Caenorhabditis elegans: one gene and its partner. The protein of the gene in region 1 purifies or fractionates together with the protein of each later gene. This does not show direct contact. Each region holds a gene or a part of one and is shown in the gene's direction. Other genes may lie near its edges.

What was found.
Region 2: the proteins of mab-10 (region 1) and lin-29 purify together in Caenorhabditis elegans (affinity purification with western blotting, with the first as the bait; one study listed by BioGRID). This does not show direct contact.

Annotation. Positions count from the first base shown.
Region 1 is NC_003280.10:10,526,565-10,534,248, forward strand, and holds the start of mab-10 (NAB transcription cofactor mab-10), read left to right. Parts: upstream 1-1,519; 5' UTR 1,520-1,683; intron 1,684-2,808; exon of another isoform or gene 2,809-3,234; intron 3,235-3,772; 5' UTR 3,773-3,857; coding exon 3,858-3,939; intron 3,940-3,985; coding exon 3,986-4,130; intron 4,131-4,191; coding exon 4,192-4,298; intron 4,299-4,348; coding exon 4,349-4,744; intron 4,745-5,105; coding exon 5,106-5,531; intron 5,532-5,937; coding exon 5,938-6,073; intron 6,074-6,121; coding exon 6,122-6,509; intron 6,510-6,873; coding exon 6,874-6,942; 3' UTR 6,943-7,684. UniProt on the Caenorhabditis elegans protein: Transcriptional cofactor. Heterochronic protein, involved in timing of a subset of differentiation events during the larval-to-adult transition.
Region 2 is NC_003280.10:11,930,208-11,935,350, reverse strand, and holds the start of lin-29 (C2H2-type domain-containing protein), read left to right. Parts: upstream 1-2,126; coding exon 2,127-2,235; intron 2,236-2,285; coding exon 2,286-2,483; intron 2,484-3,269; coding exon 3,270-3,343; intron 3,344-5,143. UniProt on the Caenorhabditis elegans protein: Transcription factor which regulates the expression of various genes, including those involved in cuticle synthesis and maintenance, such as collagens, and in lipid metabolism.

The DNA of each region.
Region 1 (7,684 bases):
AGTTATGCTGTCTGAAAACTAACATTTTGTCTGAAAATGTTTTGATTTTATTTTAAAAAACGTGTTGATACATACCTCAATTCCACCAAATCCTCTTGCATTCTGCCATGCAAACATATCAACATCCCACAAGTTTATGAACTTCTAAATACGAGTTTCCAGAACCAATCTCACGATGAGCCCTCAAAGTTTCTGAAGATAAAACTGTGAAGAAACTCTTAGTTACCAACTTTCCAGAATTTTCAAAATATTTTTTTGTAAAAACTATAACAATCAAATTGTTTACTACTCCAAATACAATAGATTCTGTATATTTTGCAGTGAGATGAAATTAGAAAAATCCTAAAGCATCAGTTCCATTTCGTTTTTTGATCAAACAACACATTATCAAAATCATCAGTCGGAATTTTTTCAGATGGATTAATCCAGAAGTTTCAAGAACCACGCCATCTGCTTACAATTTTGTTCTACGAATCAGTAAAAACCATTTTTCAAAATTTTCATTTTTATGAAAGAAGGTGTTTTCCAGGATTCAATCTTGGCATTACTGTAACGAATTATACTTTTGTTTGAAAACATGTTCAAATTATACTAATGATTTTTAGAATACAAGTATTTCAGCAACCTTTTCGCCGAAAAAACGCTTTTAACAAAATATATTTGGCAACTTTTGATAAAATCCTCTTTTGAAGTTACGAACATTATTGAATTCCACCACACATTTGTTTTGGTGAATTCTGAAAAAAAAATCGAATAAGATGAGTTTCAAAATAATTTTGCGGCCTTACTGTACTCAACAGTACTCATATCAATAACATATACAACATCACATATACAGTCTACAGTACTCATGTAGTACTTCTCCAGTGATTCAGCGGTTTAAAAAAAGTCTCACTATCCCAAACACCAACTTGAATCCCCCTTCTTCAACTGCTCTTCATGCCTTCCACTGCTTCTGATCATATCAATTGCTCTTCCAGAGACCTTTGGGCTCCTTGGGTCGGCACCGGACTGGTACCGCTGCCAGTAACACACAAAAAATGGACGCGGCCGAGGGCAGCAGAAAAAGTGCAGAAAGAGCAAGTAAAGCGAAGAGAGTGTAGACGCACTTTTTGTGCAGCAACACTGCCGTCGCCCCCAGGCAGTGCCAGCCATTTTTTCCCTCATGCGTCCCCCCGTGGTCTGTGGGGGTCACTTGCGCCCCCCCGGGCAATTCTGCCCTGGGTGTCCGCGACCGGTACCACCGCCGCTGAGAAGACGCCGCGCCACTGCTGATATCACTGAATGAGAAATAGTATGGAGAAGATGAGAGATTGCAGAGAGAATATAGAGTGTGGCTGCACTATTCTGGCTCTGTCTGTTCCTCTGTTCCTCTCGATTTCTCAATGCCTTTGCTTTTTTTTCAACGCACGCGTGTTCCCCCCTCCAGTTGACCTATGTTCTCTTAATTTTTTTCCTTTTTTTCTAGCGTTGCATATTATCAGTTATCACCTCCACCTCTATCCAACCACTTTTTTATTATAGACCCCGGCCTCACTGTTCCACAGCCTCCTGACCCGGTCGTGCCCGGACCTTGTGCGGCGCCAGACGCGAATGATATTCGGAGACACGGGCTGAATGGTTTCGTCGGTAGAGAACCACGTCATCCCGTTTTCGTCGTCTGCGGAGTTAGAACTGTATCAGGTAAGGTTTTTAGTTTTTTCTTTTTTTAACTATCAAATTGACTGAAATGAGAAAAGAACGGAAGGCAGGCAGGTCTCAGGCATGCACCAGGATCTGAAAACGCGCCTGCCTTCCACCAAAGCCTTAGTTTTGATTTGTTTGACTAGGAGGTCTAGAGTTCAGAAACTAACTATAAGGCCTCCGTGTCAGGAGTGTGGCAAATTTGACAATGGACTTTTTTAGTATTTGCCGAGCACGGCAAATTTGGCAAAATCAGCTAATCCACATTTTTAAAATTTGTCGGCTCGGCAAATTCGGCAAACGACAAACTCGGCGAATTTGACGCACACCCCTGATGTAGTACTTGCCGAATCGACCGAGCTCGGACAGTTTCCAGAATTGCCGGAGATCACTAGTTTCGTCCGTTGGGAGATACTGTAACTTCTAGATTATTAGTTATGAATGTCACTCTTCACTTTATGTCTATTTTCTCCATTTCTCCCATTTTTTTCTCGAACCTCCCACCTATTCCCCGTTGTGTCCCATCCGCCTGTTCGTCGTCGACCTTCTCTCCCTTCATCGCTTCCCAATTTTTTTTCTGTTCACCTCATACTGCGCGCATCTCCTCCCATGTCTACACTATTTTCATCAATTCATGGACATGTGCAGACAATTTCATGGGGGCTTTTTTTGCTAGAAGAATGAGCGTGCGCGCGCCAGCCTCGAAAAGGACGTTTTCGGAGCGGTTTTTCAGTTGGAAAAAGCGATGGAACGAGGTGAAGAAGAGGTCAAACAGATGGTGGTACTGTTGGATGAGAACAGCTGAATTGGAAGAAGGAGGAGGAGCTTGAGTTTTGATTAGTATGCTCTTATAGCTTCTAGACATCTATTTGTCCAAACAGGAAGAAAACTATCCGCCTAAATATTTTATCATATCGGTAAGAAACACCAAAACTTGAAAGTATTTCTGTTAGTCAGAAGTTAATAGATATAGGAGATAAGCTACCAAAATCTCTCTGAAGTCTGACCCCGATTACTGTAAATTTTGAACTTTCGTATCCCCAGACATCCACTTGTCAACAAAGGTCACTTTTTTGTCCCGTTCCTCCCAAGCCCATCCTGTGTATACACACACACAGTCACCTCAATCGTTCGCATAGTAAACCGAACATTTCAAATAATAATCGAACGACGCCTCTTTGGTTTTTTCATCGGTTCTTTTTCTCTCTAAATCTCCCCCGATTCCCGTACTATTCCCTCCCTCCTATTTCTCCATTCTCACCTCCCGGTCCGTCCCGCGTCCGAACGACCGAAGAAGCCCAGTGGCGAGAGACGTTTTTTGTAGGATTGTCTCTGTGTCTCTATGTTTTAAACGCTTTTTCTCGCCCAATGGTTTGCCGGTTTTTCTATGTTTCTTGTGTCGTCGTTTGCGTCCGGGCGCGCCGCCGAGTTTTTTTGACCTATAGTTAGATGTATGGGTGCACTCTTAGTTTAAGACACTATTTCGTCAGGGATGTAGATAGGCGGACGCTGGGGTTTTTTGAACAGGGATCGGGGGCCATACCACTCTCTTTTCTGTGTCGATATGTTCCCATTTTCTTCTCTTCTTCACTCTATTCTAACCTTTTTTGCAAACCTTTTTTATGACTTCGATAGGGAACCTACAGTGTTGTAAAGCAGTTAATACAGTAGTTCAGCATTTTTCAATTAATTTTCATTCTGGGAAAAATATAAATCAGCTTACAATATTTAATTTCTAGTAGTTTACACGTACCTTCTAATAATTGTTTGATATTTTCTCTTTAAGCATACAATCAGTGTGTTTTCTGTAGTTGATTATAAAAATAATATATACCAACTTGGCTCGGAGGTTTTGGAGGCAGCGTCCTGTAAAACTTTGACAGTTTACAACTTCCTGTCGAACTTTTGCAACTTTCCAACGACATTTTGATGTTAAAAAAATTACCTAGCAACTGCCTATCAACAGCTTTTTTTTATATTTTACCGAGTTGTTGCCGAAAAGTTTCTCCTGAATCTCCTTTGCTTTGAGACAAAAAGTACTAGTTCTGTAGTAGACTCCAGAATCTCATATTCAACAACTCATTTTCAGGATACTGAGGCTATTCGATAGCCGCTGCCCTTCCGTCGATCTGGATTGGGAGCGTACCTCAACTTGTGTGCCTTCAGAAGGCATCATGTCATCATCGTCGTCGTCGTCGTTACCCACATCATCTGCGTCAACAACGACTTCGTCGATCACATCAAGACCATCAGCATGTAAGTCCCGACGATCAGGACATCAGAAAAATTAGTAAAATTCTAGCACATCACTTGGAGTCCATACTTAGCTCGTCTTCATCTTCTCCATCAATTTTATCATCTCTTACAACTCAATCCACTTCATCAATACCCACCTCTTCATCATCATCATCACAACGTCAATCAACCAGCAATGCAGATCGCCCTGTGTAAGTCAATCATTTTTATCGATTTCTGGTGATAAGGGAAAGTATTTATGAAATTTTTTAGTTCTCCCAAACCGATGCCGACACCAACGACTCTATCCGAGTGGCAATTGTTGGCTGTACTGAGCAAAGCGAATTTAGTTCAGTACTATGATGTTTTCATAGCACAAGGTAAGGATTCTTCTTTGTGAATTTTCTATTATAAGGTAAATTTGTTTCAGGTGGCGACGATATCAATCAGATCATGGCATGCGAGGAGAGAGAATTTCTGGAAATTATGAATCTTGTGGGAATGCTTCCGAAGCCTCTTCATGTCCGGCGGATGCAGAGAGCACTTGCTGAGTATAGTCAGGATCAGACTGCATTCAACCTGGCAGCTCTTCAACAAATCGGTCCACCACCACCACTGAACTACACACCTGCGGGTACTGATCCGATGGCTCTTCTGCTACCCGGAATCGCCGCTGCCACGTCGCCGAAATTCCCGAGTCTCCGATTTTTGAGTCAGCTGTCGTCAGTTGCTGAAAAAGTTTCGACACCATCCGAAGCAGCAGACACGTCATCATCGTCTCCGTCACTGAATCTGAACACGACATCGTCGAATTCGGTACCGTTGGGTTAGTCTTTGTCGCTGGGCGTTTGGTAGCACACGCATGTCCATAATGCACAATTTTTGTTTTTAGTTCTTTATTTTAAGTTTTTGAGATATTTGTTATGAAATAGTAAAATAATGGTTCACATTTTTGAGTTTTTTTTTGTTTTTTTCTAAATTGAACTAATTGTACCGCTTCAATTACCAACATGTGTTACAAAGATCGAAATTAAGTTAGCACCGACTCCAAGGCTTCATCAATGCACTATATTCAGCGCGTAGATTAGCATACTCAGTTTGTGTTATACTTGTGCTTATACTGTCCCATTCATGATTTTAAGCGATTTTTGAATATTCCCTCAACTCAACGAATCCCAAAATTTCAGCGTTCAAGTTCTCCACTCCTCTACTCGAGTCTCTGGCCTCTGATCAACAGTCATCATCCACCTCATCTGTTCGAAGCGTGCTCCCCTCAACCAGCTCAAACACATCCCACCCTGAGCTCCCTGCTGGAATCCTCCCCGCCACCACCACCAATGTCTCCGCCGCAGTTCCGCCACCATCATCGAGAGCCACCGCCAACGTATTCTCCGGAAACAGCATTGGCCTCAATTTTAGTGGTGCAGCAAGCGTTACACGCCACCTCGTCGTCCCTCCATCTAGCACATCCATTCAACAACCATCCACTTCATTTGGACGATCATCGTCCATCACCGGCCAAGAAAAAGAGGGGTCGTCCTCTCCTTTTTTAGGTGTTGGTTATTCACAACCATATGGCAATGATTTCGTTTCATTGGGAGATTTTGATCCAAGTTCGTTTTTCTAAAGTTTATGCTCTAGCCGAAAATAATCATAGTAGGACTTGGTAAAAAAAAGTGTCAAAAGACAAAAAAAAATTGTTTTTTTGAAAAGTCTATTAAATGCTACTACAGTAACCTTTTCACTAACCTCAACTCACCGATCTTTCAAAAACCCAAAGCTCAGTTTTCTAAAAAAAATCAATAGTCCTACAGTACTCCTACAGTAACCTACAGTTTTACAAGATTGCCTCGCCCATATCCGTCTCCATAAAAATAACTCAGTTTTTCTGAAACTACAATAATCCTACAGTAATCTTACAGTATAGAAAAGGTGCCATGTCATAGTTTACCTGAAAAGAAACACTGCTGTGAAAGCTTTTATAAAAGAAAAACTTCAATGTTAAAATTAATTTTCCAGATAATCCATCACTAACTGAAAATCCGACTCTATCAACTGCTCAAATATCCCGTCTCGCTGAGTGTGCTCTGGCGGCTTCCAAGAATCTCCCGCCACTTCCGCCGAGGTTGGTGCAGAATAAGAAACGAGTTTCAAAGTGAGTCAGAATGGATTCAGACTATTTTATAATTTTTTGAAATTTCAGAGAAGTCATAGAACTCCTCAAATGCTCTCCAGCAACTCCATCAATGATCCACGCGTTTCGCAAGTATTCTGCAATTTACGGACGTTTTGACACTAAACGGAAGCCCCATAAAGTTTTGACACTTCATGAGACAACTGTAAATGAAGCAGCTGCTCAGCTATGTCTTCTCGTTCCGTCTCTTTTGACACGACGGGATGAGCTGTTTCCGTTGGCTCGACAAATTGTCAAAGATGCTGGATATAACTATGCAAAAAGTAGAAAACGACCATGTGATCCAGCTGATTTGCATAGTCCGATAAGCTCGCCGGGCAACTCTCCGCCCCCTCAAGAATCGGAATTCGATGAACAACCGTCCAGTTCTTCAGGTGCTTTTAAGGAGGAAGAAAGGGTAGGCACATTTAAATTGTTCGTTACTTTTAATGCAAAAATACCGTACCTGGTCTCGACACGAATTAAAAATGAAAAAATTTAAATCAAAAATGCTGTGCGCCTTTAAAGAGTACGTACAGTAGTCTTCCCACCTTGCAGCTTTTCAATTTTCTTCGATTTTTTCCCGTTTTTTCATTTTTGTGAACGATATGCAAAATGTAGTAAAAGAGAAAAAATGTGAAAAAGTAGCAATACAACACGGTTACTGTAATTTTAAAGACGCATACCCTTTTTTCTTCAAATTATTTCAGTCATGTCGAGACCAAAAACCATAAAACTTTGCATTTGAACAATAACATTTTTTGATTATCGATTTTTTTCAGCCACCAATTCCACCGGAAGCATGGGCGGCGATAATCGAAAAAATGAAGGGTGAGCTCCCGGAATCTTGAAGCTCGGATTTCCATATTTTTTGTTTTCCTCGTGATCTTTGCAACACCTCCCGCTGGTCGGTTTCCTGTGATTCTCATTAGTTTTCGAAAATTCTCTCATTCTAAACACGCTCTATTGTACCCCACAAGGCGGGAATTTGAATTTAAATTTAAATTCCCGCCCCCTTCGCTCGGAGTCATATAATTTCCTTCTCTTCCTATCACTTTTTTGTCTAGTTTTCAAAAAACCCCCCATTTTTCCGGCGGTTTTTCAAAAACCAATGCCAAGCTCTCATATAATGGGAGTCTAAACACAGTTCGGTTCCAAAACCAACGCCCACGGCCCCGCCCCCAATTAGATAATTTAAATATAATTTTTTTTTCCATTTTCCAATTTTTTAAAAATATTTAATATGTTTGTCTTGCTCTATTGAGAAAGAAATTTGAATTCAAAACTGAAAAACTTCAATTTCGCATCCAATGCATTGCAAGTTGATTGCTTTTATAAATTTTTGGGTCTCGAAGCGAAAAGCCCATAGGATTTTCACAAAAATTTTGCATTTAATGCAGTGAAAATTCAAAAAATTCAAAGATTTTTCTGAATAGATCAAATTTTCAAATTTTCCGGTCATTCGAAATGGCCTAATTTGCTCCAAAAATTTGAATAATCCCGTCATTTTTTCTTTGAATAGTAAAAAAAAGATTTTCTAAAAATTGCCTAAATGTTTGCCACACTTTCAGTCCATTTTATTCACAGATTTTT
Region 2 (5,143 bases), 1.4 Mb from region 1:
GTTGCAGGTTCCGAACCAATTCGCCTAGCGAACCTTGGAGTCCAACTCCGTTTTTACTCTTTTCTGAAAAGAGCCTACTAAATATTGGAACTATAATCAAACTATTCGATCAAATCGACACACCTACTAGATATCAAATATCTAATACTGGAACCAAGGCTTGGGTAACCTGAAACTGTGCGAATTTGGAGCAGAAATATTGTGAGTTTGTTTGCCTGCCTATGCCTGCCTCGCCAGCCTATGGTGCCTACCTGTGATAAACATAAGTTCTATTATGAATTGCTCCAAACTCTGTCGTCTAAAAATCTACTCTTTCCAGGCCAAAAACTTTTGAATTTTTGGACTAGAGACAACAGAGTCCTAATTCATAGTTCACTTGGCTCCAGACACTGTAATTTTTGACCTGAACCATAAAATAATCAGAGCTCTAGGTTCGGCGGCTCCATATGGTTTCAGACTGCTCTCCAGTGGGCAATTAAAGTGTATATTACAAGTGTCTCTCTACATTTTATCAGTTGTTTCATCACTACTAGTACGGTAGCGTGGTGGCACAACTCGTAAAAACCTTATAGTTTTTACGATCTACTGAAAATGTATTTGGGGACTTTCTTGAAACATGCTAGTGCTGGTGATAACGGTAGGTATGGAGAGTTGGGGAAGTTTGGGGTAGAGGTTGGGGGGAGAGAATGAGAAATTATTAACAAAAAGAAAAACGATTATTTCCGGCAAATCGGAGCATTGCCGGAATAGAAATGGCCCGGCAAATCAGCAACCGGAAAATTGCCGATTTGCCGAAAATTTTCGGCAAATTGTGGTTTTGCACACACATTTTTTTTTGAAAATTTCAGAAATTCAATTTTTATCGGCAAATTTATACGCATCCTATGATCATCCTACATCTATTCTGAAAAGTAAGCAAATTCTATGCAAATATATAAAGAAAACGGGAAAAAATTCAAAAAGTCACAATGTTTCCGTCTTACTAAAAATCCCTCTAAAAACTTCTGGCAAATAGATGTTCGGCAAACTGCAAACCTGAAATTTGCCGAAATTCAAAATTTACGGCAAATCGGCAAGACGGTAAATTGCCTGAAACGAAAATTTTTGGCAAACCGGCAAACCGGCAACCGGCAAATTGCCGGAAATTAAAATTTTCGGCAAATCGGCAAACCGGCAATTTCCGCCCAGCCCTGATAAGGACATCTCAAAAAGAGGTTTCCAAATTCTTGACGCTATTTTTCGCCTGCTCCTTTTACAGTATTCTAAACTGCTTAGGCGGCTTCACGAAAACCCGCTAACTTTCACCCCAATCCCTCTTCAAATCTGCTGTACATATTTCAAAACTTGCACAGCTGTGTGCACTGTGCACTTTTCCATATTTATGAGTTGTGTCTCGAAATGGAGAGACCGACTAAAATGAAACGGGAAAAAAAGTGAATTCGAACGTTTCGTGGCAGGTGGTGGGCACGTGTAATCGGAACCGAGTAAAAGGGAATCGAAAGGAGTAGACAAAGGGCATATAAGAAATCTTTCAGTTCTTCTTTGGGTCACATGGTTTTAGGAGATTTTTTTCTTGTCTTGAATTTCATTAGATTAAAGTATTCGTTAGGTACAATAATGCTACACTTTCCAAGTTTCACCGCCGTACTTCGGGGCAGGTGCAGTATGTTGTTCCTCGACTTGTGAAATCCAAGTCTATGCAAAAACAAAAAAAAATCAACATAGACCACCTGCCGTGTTTTCCGATTACGGTATGAGTATGAGTTTTTAGGCCCCACCTCTGTTAATTAACTTTTTCCTATAGTATTTTTTTTTCTCAAAGTGTAGATTATTAGCAATGTGGCCGTGTAATTTTTATGGGTCTTCCCAAAATTTTTGGAGCCAGGTAATATTTAATTTTACAGCCGATGGGTTACTGTATTAACTAGGAAATGGTAGAAAAAGATTTTACGAATATTTTGTTAGTTGCCTATTTTTTAGTCGAAGAAAACCACAACTGAGATATAAGCTATAATCAAAGTTGAGAATAAAAATTAATCCAAGTAGATGTTTTAGGCATTTAATCTATAAAGAAATATATACTTTCCTTTCAGCTTCGCGAGGATCAAGCCAACTTCTTCAACGCAATGGATCAAACTGTTCTAGATTCGGCATTCAACTCTCCAGTGGACTCTGGAATAGCTGGAACCACCACTGGCTCCGGATCTACCACCCATTTTGGTGTTGGAACAAACTGTGAGGATTTGATTATTTCAAGAAACTGATCATAAAAAATAAAGTTAAAGTTTCAGTGAGATCATCAAGTCGGTCAACCGACGGCACTGACTCAACGGACGGTGCCAACTCGGACAATGTGACCGGATCAACTGGATCCACACCAGCACATCATTCGATCACTAATTTGAATATGGCTTTGTCGCAACACTCCATTGACTCGGCAACTGCTGCTTCATCGACAAACCCGTTTCCGCATTTTAATCAAGGTAGATTTATCAAAGCTTTTGTTTCGAAAATTTCATTTAAATTCAATTTCTGTATCTTCAAAGAATAGAAAATGCGATCAATTTTGATAGCAGAAAACTTAAAACTGAGATTGAGCCTGCGCCTATGCTTAAATCAAAGAACTGAACTTTAGACAAAGCCTAAGAAAAATCCCATGTCTAGGTCCAAATCCAAGCCTGAACCTGAGCCCAGGTCTTCCGAAGGTCGTCGGTAAGATATTATTTTAGACTCTAGTAGCCAATTACTTCATCTACCCGTACAAAAAGAAGATAAACTTTTATCGTACTTCTAAGTCAATATATTCCCGAGTGAGCCTAGTAAGCCTAGGCCCAAATCCAAGCCTAAGCCTGACCCTAAGACTAAGCCTAAGCATAAGCCTAAACCTAAACCAAAGTTCAAGCATATTCCTTAGCCTAAGCTTGAGCATAAGCCTTAGCCTAAGCCTAAGCCTAAGCCTATGCCTAAGCCTAGGCCTAAGCCTAAGTCTAAGTCTAAGCCTAAACTAAAGCCTGGGCCTAAGCCTGAGTCTAAGCCTAAACCTAACCCTAAAAAATGAAAAATTTTCTGCAGACTGCTCATGGAGCCCCGATTTATTTCCATTCACTTTTGATGGTGACTTTGAAAGTAATTTTCTACATTTTAAAAATCGTGTCATTTCTCTAAACCACGTGTCTTTCCCATTTTTATGTACCAGTTCAAACGTACCCCCAATGTACCTGACCATCCAGATTTTCGGCAAATCATAACTAATTCAATTCAATTTTCAGCGGATCTACTGAACTTCCATCAGAATTCTCTCCTGCCACATCATATGTTTTCACAATTTGGAAGATATCCACAGGTTTGCATAGGGAACACATTCAAACGAGGGTGAAAAAGAAACATTTTTGAAATCTAGTTAGAAATGCATTCGGGGGCTATGGACAGGGGACAGGGGGTGTTTTTTCGTAGAAGTGTTCCGCACTTTTTTCGAACTAGAAAACAATTTTGAAATTTTGAAACATTTTTAATTTCATTAGTTTTGTTTTGCCTAAACACGGAGAAAAAATTACTCAATTTTTTAATGAATGCATTTTAATAAATAATTTTTTTAAAAACGTCATGCTTGCCTTCTTACGTGCCTGCCTTGCAAGGTGCTTTTAAGTACATCCCAATAGATACGCAAGCTTGAGGCAGGCAGACAGGTACCTTTTTTATTGGAGTTTTTTGTTCAGAATATAGTTTTGAAAATAATTGAAATATTGCTTTAAATGATAGATAGGCTTACTTTAGGCTCATGCTTATGCTTAGGCTTAGGCTTAGGCTTAGTTTTAGGCTTAAGGTTAGGCTTTGGCTCAGGCTGAGGCTTAGGCTTAGTATTAGGTTTAGGCTGAGGCTTATTCTAAGGCTTAGGCTTAGCTTTTTGAATTTAAAGATATTTTGAGTCGGCTACAAAAGAAAAAAAGGATACAACTATTTTTCCAGAAAACGAAAAAATTTTGGTTTGTTTGCGCGGGAATTCAAATTCAATTTAGGCGTTTTTTTATCATAAAAAATTTTGAAATTGTTGGAATTTTTTACAAAATTTTTTTTCTTGTTCTAACAATTTAAGCAAAATTTAAAAATGACTGTATTCCACCTTTTTGCCGGAAATCTCTGAAAGCAAGTAGGCTTCGTTCAAAAATCTGTGCTCTAAAAAGCAAACAAAAAGTTTGAAAAGTTCAACGAGACCAAAAAGTGATCAAGCTCAAGCTTTTCCTCGACTTTTCCGCCGTGAATTTTCTCCATAAAAATTTAATTTGTTTTTATCCGGTCTCAATATGGTCTCTGTAGAAATGTGCACTTTTCGATCGTAAGCAGCCCCGCAAAAACTCCCTTTCGCAGCAGCAAGAGCTCGTACCGTTTTTGTGTGTGCTCTTCTTATGTCCGTCTGTTCTCTTTTTTCGTCTTTTTTTTGCAGGAAAAATGGTATTTGGGATAGAAGGAGGAGGAGGAGAAGGAAACAAATAGAAACAGAGACTGTTGTTTTTTCTCGAGAGAAAGAGCCCAAAATCTCCATCTCGTCCTTTTTTCGCGCGCCCGCGAACGTAGGTACACAGATCAAATTTTTGAAAGGCTGAAATTATTGTGAACAGTATTTTTGTGTTTAAAACCAGTATGGTTTAAAACTAAAAAATGAGCTCATTTTTTTGCGTGCGTCGACGTTTTTTCTTGTTGACCTAGTGGACGAAATGGAACGCGAAATTTGTGGAGATGAAAAGAGAGTGAGAAATGTAGGATTTTTGAGCAAGAGTGTGTGCTCTTTTCCCCTGATCTGTCTCTCTCATTTTTGTATGTTGAACTGTTTGATTGACAATTTTTGTTAAATGTTCCTTTTTTCAAATTTGATTTGAATTTTGAGGATTATTTTTCTGTTTTTTTTTGTTTTTTTGCTTAGGCCTATTCTTAGGCTTAGGCTTAGGCTTAGGCTTAGGCTTGGGCTTGGGCTTGGGCTTAGGCTTAAGCTAAGGCGTAGGCTTAGGCTTAAGCTTAGGCTTAGGCTTAGGCTTAGGTTTAGGCTTAGGCTTATGGTTAGGCTTAGGCTTAGGCTTTTGCTTACATTGAGTCTCTTACATAAATTCAACTGGATTTTTTCAAATCTTCACAAAATAACTAGAACACT